Saccharomyces cerevisiae S288C: one gene and its partners. Changing the gene in region 4 together with the main gene of any one other region gives a genetic interaction. Each region holds a gene or a part of one and is shown on either strand. Other genes may lie near its edges.

Evidence for each region.
Region 1: mutations in GEX2 (region 4) and SPO1 together harm fitness more than expected from each alone (negative genetic interaction), as found in Saccharomyces cerevisiae (one large-scale study listed by BioGRID).
Region 2: mutations in GEX2 (region 4) and YCR102C together harm fitness more than expected from each alone (negative genetic interaction), as found in Saccharomyces cerevisiae (one large-scale study listed by BioGRID).
Region 3: mutations in GEX2 (region 4) and SEN54 together harm fitness more than expected from each alone (negative genetic interaction), as found in Saccharomyces cerevisiae (one large-scale study listed by BioGRID).

Annotation. Positions count from the first base shown.
Region 1 is NC_001146.8:607,932-612,693, forward strand, and holds SPO1 (putative carboxylic ester hydrolase), read left to right. Parts: upstream 1-1,754; coding exon 1,755-1,859; intron 1,860-1,943; coding exon 1,944-3,734; downstream 3,735-4,762. Other genes in the region: HEF3 (translation elongation factor EF-3), read left to right, coding at 1-1,522; YNL011C (uncharacterized protein), read right to left, coding at 3,905-4,762. UniProt on the Saccharomyces cerevisiae protein: Regulates spindle pole duplication in meiosis I, but not in mitosis. Required for meiosis I, meiosis II chromosome segregation and spore formation. Binds phosphatidylinositol (4)P mono- and polyphosphates.
Region 2 is NC_001135.5:303,295-307,530, reverse strand, and holds YCR102C (uncharacterized protein), read left to right. Parts: upstream 1-2,063; coding exon 2,064-3,170; downstream 3,171-4,236.
Region 3 is NC_001148.4:395,850-400,056, forward strand, and holds SEN54 (tRNA splicing endonuclease subunit SEN54), read right to left. Parts: upstream 2,257-4,207; coding exon 853-2,256; downstream 1-852. Other genes in the region: BRO1 (Bro1p), read left to right, coding at 1-723; MOT1 (DNA-binding ATPase), read right to left, coding at 2,631-4,207. UniProt on the Saccharomyces cerevisiae protein: Non-catalytic subunit of the tRNA-splicing endonuclease complex, a complex responsible for identification and cleavage of the splice sites in pre-tRNA. It cleaves pre-tRNA at the 5' and 3' splice sites to release the intron.
Region 4 is NC_001143.9:659,380-664,395, reverse strand, and holds GEX2 (glutathione exchanger), read right to left. Parts: upstream 2,955-5,016; coding exon 1,107-2,954; downstream 1-1,106. Other genes in the region: VBA5 (basic amino acid transporter), read left to right, coding at 3,932-5,016.

The DNA of each region.
Region 1 (4,762 bases), on a different chromosome or scaffold from region 4:
AATGCCAATTGCATCCCTATCTGGAGGTTGGAAAATGAAATTAGCTTTGGCGAGGGCTGTTCTGAAGGACGCTGACATTCTACTATTGGATGAACCAACAAATCATCTAGACACTGTTAATGTGGAGTGGCTGGTAAATTATTTGAATACTTGCGGAATTACATCGGTGATTGTCTCTCATGATTCTGGTTTTCTGGATAAGGTTTGTCAATACATCATACATTATGAGGGTCTTAAATTAAGAAAGTACAAGGGTAATTTATCAGAATTTGTTCAAAAATGTCCTACGGCACAATCATACTATGAATTAGGTGCCTCTGACCTTGAATTTCAATTCCCAACTCCTGGTTATCTAGAAGGTGTCAAAACGAAGCAAAAGGCAATTGTTAAAGTAAGTAATATGACTTTTCAATATCCAGGGACAACTAAACCACAAGTCTCAGATGTTACTTTCCAGTGTTCTCTATCCTCAAGGATTGCAGTTATCGGACCTAATGGGGCTGGTAAGTCCACTTTAATTAATGTTCTTACTGGTGAACTGTTACCAACCAGCGGTGAAGTATATACACACGAGAATTGTCGTATAGCGTATATTAAGCAGCACGCTTTTGCACACATTGAATCGCACTTAGACAAAACTCCATCCGAATACATTCAATGGAGGTTCCAAACTGGTGAGGATAGGGAAACAATGGATAGAGCAAATAGGCAAATAAATGAAAATGACGCAGAGGCCATGAATAAAATATTTAAAATTGAAGGGACCCCAAGAAGGGTTGCAGGAATCCATTCAAGAAGGAAATTTAAAAACACGTATGAGTACGAATGTTCGTTTTTGTTAGGTGAGAACATTGGTATGAAATCTGAAAGATGGGTTCCAATGATGTCTGTCGACAATGCTTGGCTACCAAGGGGCGAATTGATTGAATCCCATTCTAAAATGGTTGCTGAAATTGATATGAAGGAAGCTTTGGCTTCTGGTCAATTCAGGGCTTTAACAAGAAAAGAGATTGAATTACATTGCGCCATGTTGGGGTTGGATTCAGAATTAGTCTCACATTCAAGAATTAGAGGTTTATCGGGTGGGCAAAAGGTTAAATTGGTACTCGCTGCCTGCACGTGGCAAAGACCCCATTTGATTGTTTTAGATGAACCTACGAATTACTTGGACAGAGATTCATTGGGTGCTCTTTCAAAAGCATTAAAAGCTTTTGAAGGTGGTGTCATTATTATTACGCATTCGGCAGAATTTACTAAGAATCTGACTGACGAAGTTTGGGCGGTTAAGGATGGGAAAATGACACCCTCTGGCCATAATTGGGTTGCAGGACAAGGTGCTGGCCCAAGAATTGAGAAAAAAGAAGAAGAGGGTGATAAATTTGATGCTATGGGTAACAAGATTAATAGTGGGAAGAAAAAAAGCAAACTCTCTTCTGCAGAATTGAGAAAGAAAAAGAAGGAGAGAATGAAGAAGAAAAAAGAGATGGGTGATGAATACGTTTCTTCTGATGAAGATTTTTAATTTGAAGTCGAGTACATCTCTTTCAGTGAGTAACTTATATATTTTTGAAGTTAACATCCTTATTCTTTTTTTATATTTTTATTTTTTTTATGTTTATTTTCTATTACTGATTTTCACAAAGAAAGGTAAAAAAAAACATACTTCAGCGGCTATACAACCATATTTAAGTAAATGCACTCAGAGAAAGTATACAAGTAAAAAACCTAAGTAAAGACATAAATATCCCAAAATAATGCAAAAACTCCTCTTTGTCTTTTCTGTGTTATTGACAGTAGTACTAGCAACAGCACCATTTCAGGTACAATGTCCTAGCTCTCCACTTATTAGGGAGGCCAAAGTAAGTTAAACTCTTTGCCACTTTAACAAATATGGGCCAAAACTAACCGAATATACCAAAACTTCGTATTCCTTTGTTTATTAGCATGAACTCTGTCCAGAAGAAACCTTGTATCTGAAGAAAAAAAAAATTAAAACGAAGAATAAACTGATTCAGTTTTTAAAATCCTTGACAGAGGCAAAGTTTAGTTCGAAGTTTTATAAACGCGTGTTGAAAGATCCTCCAAAAATTGGGATTGCTATATCTGGCGGCGGGTACAGATCCATGTTAGTAGGTACCGGATTTATTTCCCAAATGAACGATTATGGCCTTTTTGAATATTCGGATTATATTGCTGGATTATCAGGCGGAAGTTGGATCTTGATGGATTTGGTAGTTCAAAATTTTGAAGTAAAATCCCTGCTACAAGAGTGGGACCTTGAAGAGGATCTTTTATTAGGCATACCGGAATTCGATATTTCCGAAGAAGAAATTGTTACCAATGCAAAAAAGGAGTATAATGATAATGATTTGAAGATGAAGAAGCGTCAGGGGGGTTCTCTGATTACAAGCTCTTCAAATTTTTATGAACAAATAGAGGAGATCATGAATTCCATAGAAGAAATCCCAGAAGACTATATGATAACGAAGAGAAACTTGAATCCATTAGCAAGACTAAAAAAAATATTCTTTCCTAACAACACTTTCACTGGAACTGATGCGAAGATTGAAACCTTTAAAAAAGTGCTAGACTTTTACAAAAGTTTGCATTTGAAAATTAAGCCTAAAAAAATGGAGGGTTTCCAAATATCGTTCACCGATTATTGGGGTAAAGCAATCGTTCAAAGACTAAAAAAAAATTTCGATGACGATCCCAACCATTCCTTTTCGTTTTCGAAGCTTGTAAACTCGTCTAAAAAATTTAAGGAATGCAGTGTGCCGATCCCAATATTCGTTGCAAATTGCAAAAATGGACTTCTTTCAAACGTTATATTTGAATTTACGCCCTTTGAATTTGGATCTTGGGAAAATATCCTCAGACTTTTCGTCAAGTTGCCCTATTTGGGCTCAAAAATTGTTTCTGGAAAGGCCGAGAAGTGTATTAATAACTTTGATGATCTAGGTTTTATTACTGCGACGTCTTCTTCAATATTCAACAATGTGCTCATCTTCATCTGGAATTTGGCTTCTCAGTCCTCCAGAGAAGCAATGAAAGCTTTGAATATGGTTATGGGAATTTTTGGCCTAGGTAAAGAGGAAATATTTAGTATTTCGAAAGACTCCTCGAGATTAGAGACAGACTATGCCGTATATCAACCCAATCCCTTTTATCTTTATCCTGAAAAAGACAATGTCCTAACTAACAAAAATCATTTATACCTTGTAGACGGCGGAGAAGACGGCGAGAATATTCCACTCAGAACATTGGTGATTCCTGAAAGGGAACTAGATGTAATTTTTGTTCTGGATTCTAGTTCGGATATTGACAACTATCCAAACGGCTCCAAGTTAAAAAGGATATTCGAAAAATTAGATGAAGAGAACGTTCATTACCAATTTCCGAACAATGTAAAAACATTCACTCACCCCATTGTTATAGGATGCAATGCTACCAAAAGAACTGGACATGATTCATTTTTGCCAATTATAATTTATCATGCCAATGCGAATCATGGAAACGCATCTAATACGTCGACATTCAAAATAACTTACAATCAGTCTGAAGTTAGCAGTATGTTACCCACTGGAAGGGGAGTGTTTAGCAATGATTATGACCTTTATTATAAAAATTGCTTAGGCTGTATATTAACCAAAAGAACAATGGACAGGCTCCCAAGAAAAAAGAAATTTTCGCCATTTTGCTTACAATGCTTTAAAGACTACTGTTACTCATAAGAGAGTAGACTTTTTCTGTGAAATTTAATGAGTTTTTGTTCACCTTTTTTACTTTTCTTCTATGCCATATGGTTAAATAAAACATGGTTCAAACGCGATTCTTTTTTATTATCTATGTCTTTATTATGTAGTCTTCACTATAATAACCGTTAATGAGCGACATAGTTGCATCAGTTTTTAAGGCCAATTTGATTCAGAACCTTTTCAAGTTCTTCACTTTCCATCTTATCCGAAGACGCGATCTGGTGGCATCTAATACTATGCTTCTCGAATATCGTTTCATCAATTTCAATTTCACCATTTTTTAGGTAAACAATATCAGTAATAAAATCTTGCCATTCAAAGTCATCATTCTCTGAATGGACACCCTTAGATTGCCTATAGCCTGCTATTGCCCTACTCATAGAATCTATGATCATTTGAACGTAGTGTAAACCGTCTAAACCAAAAACCTCTCTATCATATTTATTATTTATGAGCAAAACTTTTTTCGTATTATTAGATTCCAAAATTACTTCAGCAAGATTACCAAGAATAAGGATTGGGAGTAAACTTGTCATTAAAGAACCGATAGAATAAACGACCATGTCAGCTTTTTTCACCTTGGAAATAGCTCTTGGATTTCCCATTGGTTTTATCTCTTCGCCATATGGGTTTATATACAATATCCTATGTACCGGAGCAGGTAGATTCTGTGATTCATCAAGCTTGTCAAAATGCAACTGGGAGTTTTTCAGTTCTGGAAGAATATAGATAGGATTGGCATACTCCTCTTCCGCTTCTTCTTCCTCATCGTCGAGGAGAATTTTCAAATGGTCGTCATAAGAGCCAAGTAAATGAATAAATTTAGCTGAATGTGCTATGCTATTATCTTTAGGAACAGATTTCGAGGGATGCGATATTTGTGATTGGCCAGTTATCATCTCACCATTCGTCAACAAAGCCGAGATATGATGTGTGTGATTGGTATTTATACATGGAATAACATGAACTAGAGGACTGCACCTTCCTATCCTCATCATTAGTTC
Region 2 (4,236 bases), on a different chromosome or scaffold from region 4:
TGTTTTATGGCACTCATGTGTATTCGTATGCGCAGAATGTGGGAATGCCAATTATAGGGGTGCCGGGGTGCCTTGAAAAACCCTTTTACGCGCGCCTGTGAAGTTTCCGCTTTCGGTCAAAAAGAATATCCGAATTTTAGATTTGGACCCTCGTTCAGAAGCTTATTGTCTAAGCCTAAATTCAGTCTGCTTTAAACGGCTTCCGCGGAAGAAATATTTCCATCTCTTGAATTCGTACAACATTAAACGTGTGTTGGGAGTCGTATACTGTTAGGGTCTGCAAATATGTAAACTCTCGGCGAATGCCTTGGTGCAATTACGTAATTGTAGCCGCTGAAGGCGGATGGTATTGAGAGAAGTTGATGTTCAAAGTATCGTGTATGATAAAAATAGAATTGTAACCAGTTCGTAGTAGCAGTATTAAAACTTTGATTCCGAGATGTAATCCCTCTTTTCTAGCCAGATATGAAGGAAAAAAGTGTAAGGGTAGTTGAGAGCGCTACTTTATTTTATTCTATTTTAAAAATGTTCTCTAGGAGAGGTGTATTAATAGTTGGTACTCCATGTAGCTTCTAAGTCAAAAGAAATGTCTCTATCTTTATGGTAACGGTTCATCGTTAGAGCTCAATTGTGCTTCTTGGATGTATTTCCAAAGTCCCACGTTTAATAACCCACACAACATAAATGTCCTTGAATATAAAAAATTTCGAAAGCTCCCCGTAAAGAATGCTTGATAATCAGCTCCATCAAAGAAATACTTTTTGTTCTTCCAAACTTTTCCTCTCAGCAAATACATATTTATTTCCTTTGCAACCACTTTCTAGAGAATTCATAATAGTTGATAAAAAAGGCATTTTGTCTTCTATGTTCATAATTTCAATTCTTGAATTTTGGAAATCGTGAAATGTTTCGAGAAACCGCCTTCAATAATTAGAAAACAAAATAAAAGATTACAGTTAGGCCACTCAAAAATACAATTCAGATAAGAAAGGTGCGATAGTGGGGAATAAGAATTGGAAATCCGCTTGATAATCAGGGAAAACTTAAAGAACGGGGTGTTAAAAGTCTGTGAAGTATAGATCAAACTCGCACTAGCTAGCAATACTCATGAGAACCTAGGTGAGTGTAAAGCAGTGAACCTTCTTTAGAAAGCAGAGAAAAATCCTCCAAGTTAACAGTCTTCCATACTTACTCAGTATGGATCAAGTTCCACAGTTTGTCCACTTCTGTAGAATAAACTTGTAGTGCTTTTCCGATGAAAAGGGATAGAGTCTTTAAAAGACTTGATCTTGGCATTTTTATCCTCCTTCAAGCAGAATGGCTCCAGTAGAGTTGTTCTGAACGCTTCTGGGCAGTGAGCAGCATTGAAGAAAAAGTACTCAGCATTCCAAGCTTTGTCTTCATATAATTATAAATTAAAACTCATAGCCACCAATTTCCAGGTTTTGGTCGCAATATGCTGCAGAATCAATGGCTTGTTTCGTTACTATACTGGTCCGACGGAGTTTACTTTACTCTAAATTTGCTGAAATAGCAAGGCCACACGCCATACAATTAACAATAGTTCATTCAGTTGAAAGGTTTCCGAGATAGAAAGTGCGGTAGTAGAGAAGAACAATAAACGTATCAAACTTTGCGCAGTCATGGAATTTCCAGGAAACATTTTTAGGTTTTCATATGACAGCAGTTCCTGTCCGAGAGCTGTGCCTTTCTTGTCTCAGCTGACTAAGATGTCTCGGATCCGCCCGGCTGGCGCGCGGCTCCGTCTAGTGGGATAGGCTTTCAACACATAGGAAACCCTTCAGATGATGAGAACACATCGAATCCCAGAGAGTAATATCACCAAGAATAAAGCAACCATGATAGACAATATTACTAAGTGTTCCTCAACAGATATTGAGAAAAGTTCTTATAAAGCGGGCAGGCTTTTTTCTATTTTTTTCTTTTTCTTTATCTAGCTTAAGATCCTTCTAACCATATTCTATAAAATGGCAAGCTGAATACAGATTATCAACGACAATTACATATAACCTACAAACAGGCAAGTTGCAATTCCAGAAACCATGAAGGCTGTCGTCATTGAAGACGGTAAAGCGGTTGTCAAAGAGGGCGTTCCCATTCCTGAATTGGAAGAAGGATTCGTATTGATTAAGACACTCGCTGTTGCTGGTAACCCGACTGATTGGGCACACATTGACTACAAGGTCGGGCCTCAAGGATCTATTCTGGGATGTGACGCTGCCGGCCAAATTGTCAAATTGGGCCCAGCCGTCGATCCTAAAGACTTTTCTATTGGTGATTATATTTATGGGTTCATTCACGGATCTTCCGTAAGGTTTCCTTCCAATGGTGCTTTTGCTGAATATTCTGCTATTTCAACTGTGGTTGCCTACAAATCACCCAATGAACTCAAATTTTTGGGTGAAGATGTTCTACCTGCCGGCCCTGTCAGGTCTTTGGAAGGGGCAGCCACTATCCCAGTGTCACTGACCACAGCTGGCTTGGTGTTGACCTATAACTTGGGCTTGAACCTGAAGTGGGAGCCATCAACCCCACAAAGAAACGGCCCCATCTTATTATGGGGCGGTGCAACTGCAGTAGGTCAGTCGCTCATCCAATTAGCCAATAAATTGAATGGCTTCACCAAGATCATTGTTGTGGCTTCTCGGAAACACGAAAAACTGTTGAAAGAATATGGTGCTGATCAACTATTTGATTACCATGATATTGACGTGGTAGAACAAATTAAACACAAGTACAACAATATCTCGTATTTAGTCGACTGTGTCGCGAATCAAAATACGCTTCAACAAGTGTACAAATGTGCGGCCGATAAACAGGATGCTACCGTTGTCGAATTAACTAATTTGACAGAAGAAAACGTCAAAAAGGAGAATAGGAGGCAAAATGTCACTATTGACAGAACAAGACTGTATTCAATAGGCGGCCATGAAGTACCATTTGGTGGCATTACTTTCCCTGCTGACCCAGAAGCCAGGAGAGCTGCCACCGAATTCGTCAAGTTCATCAATCCAAAGATTAGTGATGGGCAAATTCACCATATTCCAGCAAGGGTCTATAAGAACGGGCTTTACGATGTTCCTCGTATCCTGGAAGACATTAAAATCGGTAAGAACTCTGGTGAAAAACTAGTTGCCGTATTAAACTAGATGACGAACAGATATTATTTTTCTTTTGTATACACAGTTATTACGTATGTTAGAGTGACTTGGTTTTTTTTTTTTTAATGAAATTGTTTGTTATTGATCACGCCTTGTAGGGGAAACAGATGAGAACAGTGAAAATCATAACTCATTATGTGATTTGTTGTGCGTCACCCTTCCATGATTATATATCCTTACTATCTACTATCCAACTACTACATATCTATTGAACTCATATGTACCAAGCACATAAAATTATGCACCTATTTCCATTGGCAAAGACTTGGCGAAATTTAATACACTGTAATAATATCCGGCGAAGCTCTTTAAGAATTCTTACCTATAATAGCGGCTCGCTGTCCGAACGATTGCGCCGCACTTTTCTGCCTCTTACATTCCCTTTTCCTAAGGCGATAAGCAGGCTGAATGGAAACTACGATATAACGCAGTAGAGGTCCCCCAAGAGCTGGAAAGAAAATATTGGTTTGATAGCCAGCACTATTCTATCCAGTGGGCTCTTGTACCATTTTCTGTGGTATGGCTTTGATTCAACTGCATACGTAGTTAACGCGATCAGCCGCACATGGGCATTATCATTTTCAGGGGTACTGGTAAACCCTATTGTTTAGAAAGAATACCTGGTAAGCGGGTCTGTCGAGTCTTTCCCACTAATTTTGAAGAAAAAATCTTTACCTAGTTTGAGAATAATCGTGGCGTTCGTAACATCACGAGGTGAGAGAGACCAGTTAGGTAAGGGTATGCCAATAAAAGGTTATTGATACTTCAACGAATCTTCATATTAAAAGTGCCTTCACCAGAATAAAATTCTAACGTCATCCTAAAAAGCATCAATTGGACATAGTGAGGGAAAGTTTTCACCATTTAAAATCTATTCTGCAGAATACCATTCTAGACTATGATCCCTTAAAGATTCCCATTCTTTAAATATACAAATCAGGTTCAACAGCGTATCTTTATGGTATTATCGTACTACTGGCGACATTAGCAAATCCAAGTATCCTAACTAGGTTTCTAGTCTTATCTCTTGGTTTTCTCCATTAGATGGTAAACA
Region 3 (4,207 bases), on a different chromosome or scaffold from region 4:
TTCGAGGTGGAACTGGAGAAATTCGAGCCTTTGAGCACAAGAATAGAGGCGACAATTTACAAACAATCTTCAATGATAGATGACATCAAAGCCAAGCTAGATGAAATTTTTCACCTTTCAAATTTCAAGGATAAATCTTCTGGGGAAGAAAAATTTTTAGAAGATCGTAAGAATTTTTTTGATAAGCTGCAAGAAGCAGTGAAATCATTCAGTATTTTTGCATCCGACTTGCCAAAAGGAATAGAGTTCTATGATTCATTATTCAATATGAGTAGAGACTTAGCAGAAAGAGTGAGAGTTGCAAAGCAGACCGAGGATTCAACAGCTAATTCTCCCGCTCCTCCCCTCCCTCCACTTGATTCTAAAGCGTCTGTCGTTGGGGGTCCTCCATTACTGCCCCAAAAAAGTGCAGCCTTTCAGTCATTATCTAGACAAGGGCTCAATTTAGGGGACCAATTTCAAAATCTCAAAATAAGTGCCGGCAGTGATTTACCTCAAGGACCCGGTATTCCACCAAGAACTTATGAAGCTTCGCCATATGCTGCAACGCCTACTATGGCAGCCCCACCAGTACCACCGAAACAATCGCAAGAGGATATGTACGACTTGAGAAGACGTAAAGCAGTTGAAAACGAAGAACGTGAACTGCAAGAGAATCCTACGTCCTTTTACAATAGACCCTCTGTTTTTGATGAAAATATGTACTCCAAATACAGCAGTTAGGTGCATTTCTTATTTCTTAATTTTATTGTAGCTTTTTTTTTTCAACTAATATGATAATTATATATATACCGGATTTGTTGAAAGCCAGTTTTGCAAGGATAAAGAAACTGCGATTTAGCAAAAGTCCCTTTAATGCTTCTTCCATCTTTGATCTACTTTCTTTTGAGTATTAGGTGTATACCATACACTTTCAGATCCAAAATCAGCCTCGGACATTTTTACAAACGAAATAAGGCCATTATCCATAATAGCGATAATAAAGCTCCGATATCCCGTCTTCAATCTACGATTTTGCTGTATGTGAGGTGGGTACGCCTTTCTCTTCTTTTTCGTGCTAGACTGTGCAGTTTTTTTTTGAAAACTTGCTTTCATAGACGACTCACTTTTTTCAGTTTGAGATTTCGCGCTCCTCTTATGAATATATTCCTTTCGTGGGATATCTTCAACGTAGGAGTTTGTCTCCCAATCGTCATCATCCTCGATTTCGCTTAAAAATTCGAATTTATAATCAAGTGAGGAAAACATAGATCGCAGCTCTTTATAGGTAGGAAAATGCTGAAGATCGTCATTTTTATTGTAAACGAAAACTTGGAAATCAGGAAGACCGGGGTCTCTTTTCTTGAAATTAGAATGGGGTTTCCATACTTTAAATGTCAAGGGAATATCCTTTACCTTTTGAAATTCCCTATCAGATTGTGCATCCAATAGCTCTTTTTTATTCTTTGGTACAGCCACGGAACGAACAAGCCTATTTAAACCCTGGTATAACTGTGGTGAAGTCGTATATTTACGAAAAAAAAAATTCCACTTAGAATAGAAGAAACCACTAAACAGCGATAACTCTTGTATTTTAAACAATGAAAGTAATCTCCAAGTGATTGCTTGTAAATTACTTCGTTGCTTTTTCAATGGGAAAAAGGAAGTCTTGACTGCTGCTTCTTGATTGCTGGGTTTTAGAATAAAACCCAACCTTTTTAAATGAGCAAACACAAAATATTGGTCCATTTCCTGTTGCGATGAAAACAGCGAATACAAATCCTCCATACTGAGTAAAATCTCTGTTTCGTGCTTTGAGCTTTTGTTAGAGCCTGCTTCTAATCTATAATAAGGAAGAATAGTGCCTCTCTCTGCCAAATAAACAAACTCATGGAAGTCAAGCCAGAGTTCGCCTGTGCTATCAGCCCTTCCCATCGTTTGCATAAAGCTGCCTTTGGGTTTAAGTAGAACGGCTTGATGTTTATGGGGAACATAGTATCCTCTTACTTCAGATTTTACTGTTGTGCCTCTTATTGAGTCTGATATGGTATCAAACATGGCTTTACTTGCATTATAGAGAAGCAGATCTTGCAAATTAGTCCCATCTGGTTCATAGTCTTTTTCACCCCTCTTTGGAAGTGAAAGAGCAGCATTTTTGCTAACGAGCGATGCGAGTTGCGACCAATCTTGTTGTAGTTCTTCTTCTTCTTCTTCTTCTTCTTCAAAGCCCGGATTAGATGTGGTCACTTGATCAGTTTTCTTCCCAGCGAATTGCATTTAAATTGGCAGAAGAACAGAGGTTTTATGTATGTTTATATCCAAACGTTTCGATAGCTCAAATGAATAATTTTTCATACTGAGATGAAGCTCTGCAGAGTTCGACTAAACTGTTTCTAGTTTCCCTTTGGCGCAACTTAACTATGAAAAATAATAAAATAAAAAAAAAGTCCAAGCCATAATCAATAGACAGCTAATAACCTGAATTTTAACAAGAGAATATGAAAACATTATCAATACTGATTTGAATATACCCGTAAATTCTATAAGACTCCATTAATATACCGTATTATATTACAAGTTGATAATACATAAATGCGTTAAATAAAACAAAAATGACCTTGTATACGCGTCATTCCAATGCAAGAATTTGTTTATCGTAAAGTTTTGATGAAGGTGTCTAAATTATACTCCTCCTCGTATTGAGATGGGTCCCATAGCTCTTTCAATTCACCGAGGGCCTCTTTGGCTTTGCCAGTTAAACCAGTCTCGTTGGCAATATCTTCCATGCCCTTGGCTGCTTGGGAATCGCCATTATTCTTTTCCTCATTGTCCTGTGAGGTAACGTTATCGGGGTCGAAGAGATCAAGCAGCTGATGTGTATCCATGGATGCTAATCCACTGTTTTGCTGATTAACAACTGTAGAAGCTATATTCATTTTGAATTTCTGCAAACCCATGATTTTTTCTTCAAGCGTACCTTTCGTAATAATTCTGTAAACATTAACAACCTTTTTCTGACCAATTCTATGTGCTCTGTCCATTGCCTGTAGATCATTCATTGGATTCCAGTCATGCTCTACAAAAATGACGGTGTCTGCACCAGTTAAATTCAGACCCAGCCCTCCGACCTTGGTGGTCAACAGTAGGCAATCAATAGAGGGATCTTCGTTAAATTTCCGAACAACTTTTTGTCTGTCTCTTGGGTCAATGCTTCCATCTAGCCTCATATAGGTTACGGAGGGCATATACTTTTTAAACAAGTCATTTTCAACCATGTCTAGCATATCTTTTAGTTGGCAGAAAATCAGGGCTCTGTGTTGTGATATGACATTTTGAATAGGAAAATTCTGATCTTGGCTTGCTTTTTTGTCGATATCTTCTTCACCTATACCACATTCAAAGAGTAATGTTCTCAATGCGCTCAGTTTTGGAGCGTTGATAATATCGTGTAAATCTAGACCAGTTTGCTTTAAATAGTCTTGTACTTGCGCTAATTGCGGGTGATTTGGTGAAAGGACCAAAGCTGGATGATTACACAATTTTCTCATGTATTGTAAAGCTTGGAAAATATGTTGCTTGCCATCAGCAATCTCAGAATTTTCAATATCTTTCTCAACTACATTTTTTTGTTTTTTAGTAAAATCCATGTATAGTTGTTTTTGTAAATCACCTAATTCACAGTAGTAATCCTGAATAATTTTAGGTGGTAAATCAGATAGAACGTCTTCCTTCAATCTTCTCAGCATGAAAGGTAGAACTTGCTTATGTAGTGCCTCCAAAGCCAGTACACCTGCTTCCTGCTCCTTAGATGATGTTTTACTATTTCTTGACGCAGCGATTGGCTTTGCGAACCTTTCCTGGAACATCTTTTCCGTTCCCAAAAATCCCGGCATTAAGAAGTCAAACAGAGACCACAATTCTAAAACGTTGTTTTGGATGGGAGTTCCGGTTAAAATTAATCTATGGTTTGCAGTAATTTCTTTAACAGCCTTAGCAAGTTTTGATTGAGAGTTTTTAATTATATGTCCTTCATCCAAAACACAATAATTATATTCAGTTTTGTTTAGGACTGCGAGATCATTTCTAGCTACGTCATATGATGTTACAATAATATCAGCATCACTTAACTGTGGTCTCAGAGTTAATCTGACAGTTGGGCCACCGGCATACACAACAACCTTTAAAAAGGGAGCATACTGGTCAAACTCGTTTTCCCAATGGCCAGTTA
Region 4 (5,016 bases):
CTTCACAACCATACTCTGTTAGTAAGGAGCCATAGTCGACATCTGTCAACAATCCTAGGAGTTCCAGCTCAATCGGGTATGATATTATCTCTGATATCCCCAAAATACATGGCTGTATCATTTAAAATAAGTGATATATTGAAGAACAGTATATTTCAGCCTGTACAGGATCCTACTCTTTCAACAAAAATGATTTCATCAAAATTAAATCACGCTGCAACATTGGTGAAGAATCTCAAAAGGTTAGTAACGTCAATATATCGCGGAGGTAGCTATCATTGTGGCAGCTAATTTAAAGGATATACAGTTAATTCAACAAGATTTTCAAGTCCATTTCTTTTGGGCACGCTGAACACGCTCAATGTAGTACTTGTTTTGGAAATCACTCGCAGCAAGTTTAATGGGACGAATTATATCAGTAATGTGTAAATTCCGACACAATGTTCGGTTAGTAGATTTACTGCTGGATTATTGGGTTCACCCGTAGACTGTTGCCGACTCCAAGAAAACTATGATCTCAATACAGGCATAAAGAATTGTTGTATCTGTGCCCATGTGATCTGTACCTTTTTTGCGGTACCAAAATCGCATGTTGCACTCACACTACGGAACACATCAACTTGTAACGACAACAATACAAAATACCAGGAGACATATCACTTTTTTTCGCTTAGAATGATTTACAATGGCATACACTTAGAAAAGTGCTATGACATGACGCCCTTACTAGAAGTTACATGATATTCTTTTTTTTCTTTCTTTCTTTCTTTTTCGGTACAACATAATTAATGCATTCATACAGAGCGCATTTCCAGCATCATTTATTGGATAGTAACTCCTCCCGCACTTTTAATATCAATGACGCTGACTCTTTTACTGACGCTGAGTCTTTACCGACGCTGAGTTTTTACCGACGCTTGTGAAAATAAAAAGTACGACACAGCTATATGCGTCGCAAGTTCAAATGTGGGTCTATCGAGCATGTTTATCCTATCCTGTTATGTCATTTTTATCGGAAGTAATAAAAATGTAGAAATCACTTGTTTTTGCCTTTTTTGTGATTTTGCTTTCATTTTTTTTTTGCCCTTTTTTCACCAGCTTGGGGATCAACATCCTGATTTCTTGTTACTTCGATTATGTCTAAAAAGTGCCTTGATTTGAGAGAAAATATTTTCCTCATCTGGCAAGACAACCAAACCATCTTCAGTGAATTCTTCGTGTGTCGCCTTGTCTATTAGTTCCGGGTTTCTCATGAACATTGTAAACGTAAAGAACGGTACCGTACATGCCAAGCCAACCGTCATTATTATTCGTTGAACATATCTGTAAGATTCAACCACAGCATCTCTTTCCGGTGAGCCCCAAGGATAATCACTAATGAATGTATAAGGTGATGCATATGCTATTTCTGCCAATGTATCGTTTCCAAGGTTCTTGTAGAGTTGGTTAGGCATGGTTTGTGTCCATATGGCACCAGAAACGGAGGCACCGATAGCAGCGCCTAGCTTTGAAAAGGTATACTGAATGCCGGTTATTACAGCCATCCTACTATGCGTAGTCATGGCTTGCAGTATGACGATCACTGAATTGCTGCATAGGAGACCGCTCAAACCCATGATAACAGATGCAGCGATAACACCTTCATGAGACCCAGATCCTCCTCTGTATTTGTAAAAAAGGCCCATGCACACCATCCATGCAGCACAACCTCCGATTACAGAAAGTTTCAGTTTCCTTGTCTTTGCCACCAACAAACTGTAGAATGGAGATGCAGTAGCAGCAACAAAGTCAGGAAGGTTTACTATCCGAGCAGCCGAAGTGGACGATTCTTTCATCGATACCAGCAAAACAGGATACAGATAGTCGCACGAAATGAAAAAGGTGAAAAAATTGAAAAAAGTAACACCAAGGGGTGCCCAAATTCCACGATCACTTAGTAATTTGAACGGTAGAAGAGGAGATTTGGCAAATTTGGCCTCCCAATATAAAAAAATGAAAAATAAACAGCCACCTGAAACTAAAGTGGCAATTATTTTTGAATTGTGCCACTTTTGTGATGTCTCATTAGCCAACGTCAAAGGAACAAGAATACACCCTAGCGACACAGTTATTAATAATATGCCAACAATATCGAGTTTCCAGAATAGAAACACCAAATTCTCAAATAATCCGCCCGTTCTTTCCTTTCTAGCCTGTTCTTTGAGAGATCTCCACTCAGCAGTCTTTGAAGATTTGTACTTCATATAAAGAATAAGAAATATAATTGGCAAGGTAGAGAGTGGGTAAATAAAAGCCCACATTGCAATATTCCAGGACCAGTTTTTCTGAGGATTTGCTGCTGTGATAATATTGCCTGAAATCCATGGTATTATGATATATGGCCAATATGAGGCGTACTGGTAAAACATTCTCCATTTCAAGGAGGAGAAATCTGAGAGTATTAATGTCAGGAGCAGATTTGTTCCGACGTATCCACAGTTATAGAAAACCGATCCTGCTGCATACATGGTGAGACGGGTCGCCTGTGATTGAATGATGGTTCCCATTATATAAAAAATAGTTGCAACTAAAAAAAGCCTTAGTCTTCCGAAGTGGTCAGAGAGTCTAGAGTAGACAACTTGGGATCCGACACTCACAACAGCATTGATAACTTGGACAGTTGAAAGTAAGGAGTGTTCTGAATATGAGTTCGTTGCATAGCCCGTATAGGTCGATCTAAGTGTGTAGTCTAAACTAATTCCAAACCCACATACAAACGCGGTACTTATCAGTAGAATTTTATATTTCAAGGAATCAAACTGTGCAGACATAATTTCGTTTTCTTTGAGCTTAAAAAAGGTCGATGTCATAGAGTACGTGTCATCGTTTGAGTGACGTTCTCGCTCAATAATCTCACAGGACTGCCTAATTCCACTTTTTTTATTACTTGAGGCACCAACAACACTAGAACTCATCCGATAATTTATTTACTTGATTATTCTTTTTTTTTTTTTTCTCGTTCCAGTCCATAAAACTATTTTACTTTTCTTATTTATGTAAATAGTATTTAAGATTCTACGGTCGCTACATCTGCTAGAAATGGAATTACTTTAATACATTCCATGTTCTCATATATATTTTACTGACACATTTTGTCACTATTTTTTTTTTAACTTTTTTTTGGAAGTACTAAAATTATATGCTCGTAATTATTGAGTATCAAAAAAAAATAAAAAAAATTGCTGTGACGCCCCTTCAATGTGGTGTCTATACACCTGGTGACTTTAACTTTAACTTTGACCTGTCGTCGTACAATCAACTTACTTTCCGAAAATCCACAACGAACCAGTTATACCGAAGACTTTTGTACGACAAGAATACTGTACCGTCGAAACTATCTCTTTTCAAACTAATGAGTGAAGCTTGTGTTTATGTCTGTTGAAACAAGGAAAAAAATGCGGTGCCTGTCGACAGGATATGAGCACAAGTGCAAAATCATCAAAAAATTGAGTACCTAGATCCGGTGGTGTAGGACGAGCAAAGTTCCTTCATAAACAAACCGTAAGGGTTACTGATACACAATTTCCTTTGTGTAAAGAGTATTTGAGCAAATTAGTCGGCGATTGAAAGCAACACCCTTTTTTCTATATATAGTAGGTGAAAGTTAACATGCGAGTAAAAGTAGTGCCACATTTCCTTTGCAGCAGGTGCAAATTAGTACATATTTAACAGATAGCGCCGCACCTCATATGCAGCGCGTACATGATACGAGTCGACAAAATATGCAAAAGATAATAGTGTCATCACACCTTTATGAGAAGCGAATTTTTTTTTTTTTTGGTTTAAATATATATATACATATATATAGATGTATTCTAGTTATACTCATACCTAGAACTGATCAGACCAGATCATACCTGGTATAGAGCTTAATCGATAGAAATTCAAAAATATGGAGGAAACTAAGTACTCTTCGCAGCAGGAGATAGAAGGAGCATGTGGTTCAGACGCTTCATTGAATGCTAGAGGTAGCAATGATTCTCCAATGGGACTTTCCTTGTACCTCTGCCTGGCTTCGTTAACTCTTGTACTATTCATAACTGCACTGGATATTTTGATAGTGGGAACTATTATTGACGTGGTCGCAGAACAGTTCGGAAACTACTCCAAAACAGGTTGGCTCGTTACAGGCTACAGTTTACCAAATGCTATTCTGAGTCTCATTTGGGGAAGATTCGCATCTATCATAGGTTTCCAGCATAGTCTCATTTTAGCAATACTTATTTTTGAAGCCGGATCCCTAATTGCTGCCCTTGCCTCTTCAATGAATATGCTCATTTTCGGTAGAGTTGTTGCTGGTGTTGGGGGAAGCGGACTCCAAACGCTTTGCTTTGTTATTGGTTGTACGATGGTTGGTGAAAGGTCACGTCCATTGGTGATTTCCATCCTAAGTTGTGCATTTGCTGTAGCTGCTATCGTTGGTCCTATAATCGGAGGTGCCTTTACAACCCATGTTACCTGGAGGTGGTGCTTCTATATCAATCTTCCTATCGGTGGTCTTGCCATTATTATGTTTTTACTCACCTATAAGGCCGAGAATAAGGGTATACTTCAACAAATTAAAGATGCTATAGGAACAATCTCGAGCTTTACTTTTAGTAAGTTCAGACACCAAGTTAATTTTAAAAGACTTATGAATGGCATAATCTTCAAGTTTGACTTCTTTGGTTTTGCCCTCTGCTCTGCAGGGCTGGTCCTTTTCCTACTGGGGCTAACCTTTGGTGGTAATAAATATAGTTGGAACTCTGGCCAAGTCATCACATATTTGGTTTTGGGTGTCTTACTTTTTATTTTTTCATTGGTGTACGATTTCTTCCTATTCGATAAATTCAACCCGGAACCTGATAATATATCCTACAGGCCTCTCCTTCTAAGAAGATTGGTAGCAAAACCAGCCATAATAATAGTAAACATGGTAACATTTCTATTATGTACCGGTTACAATGGGCAAATGATATACTCTGTCCAGTTTTTCCA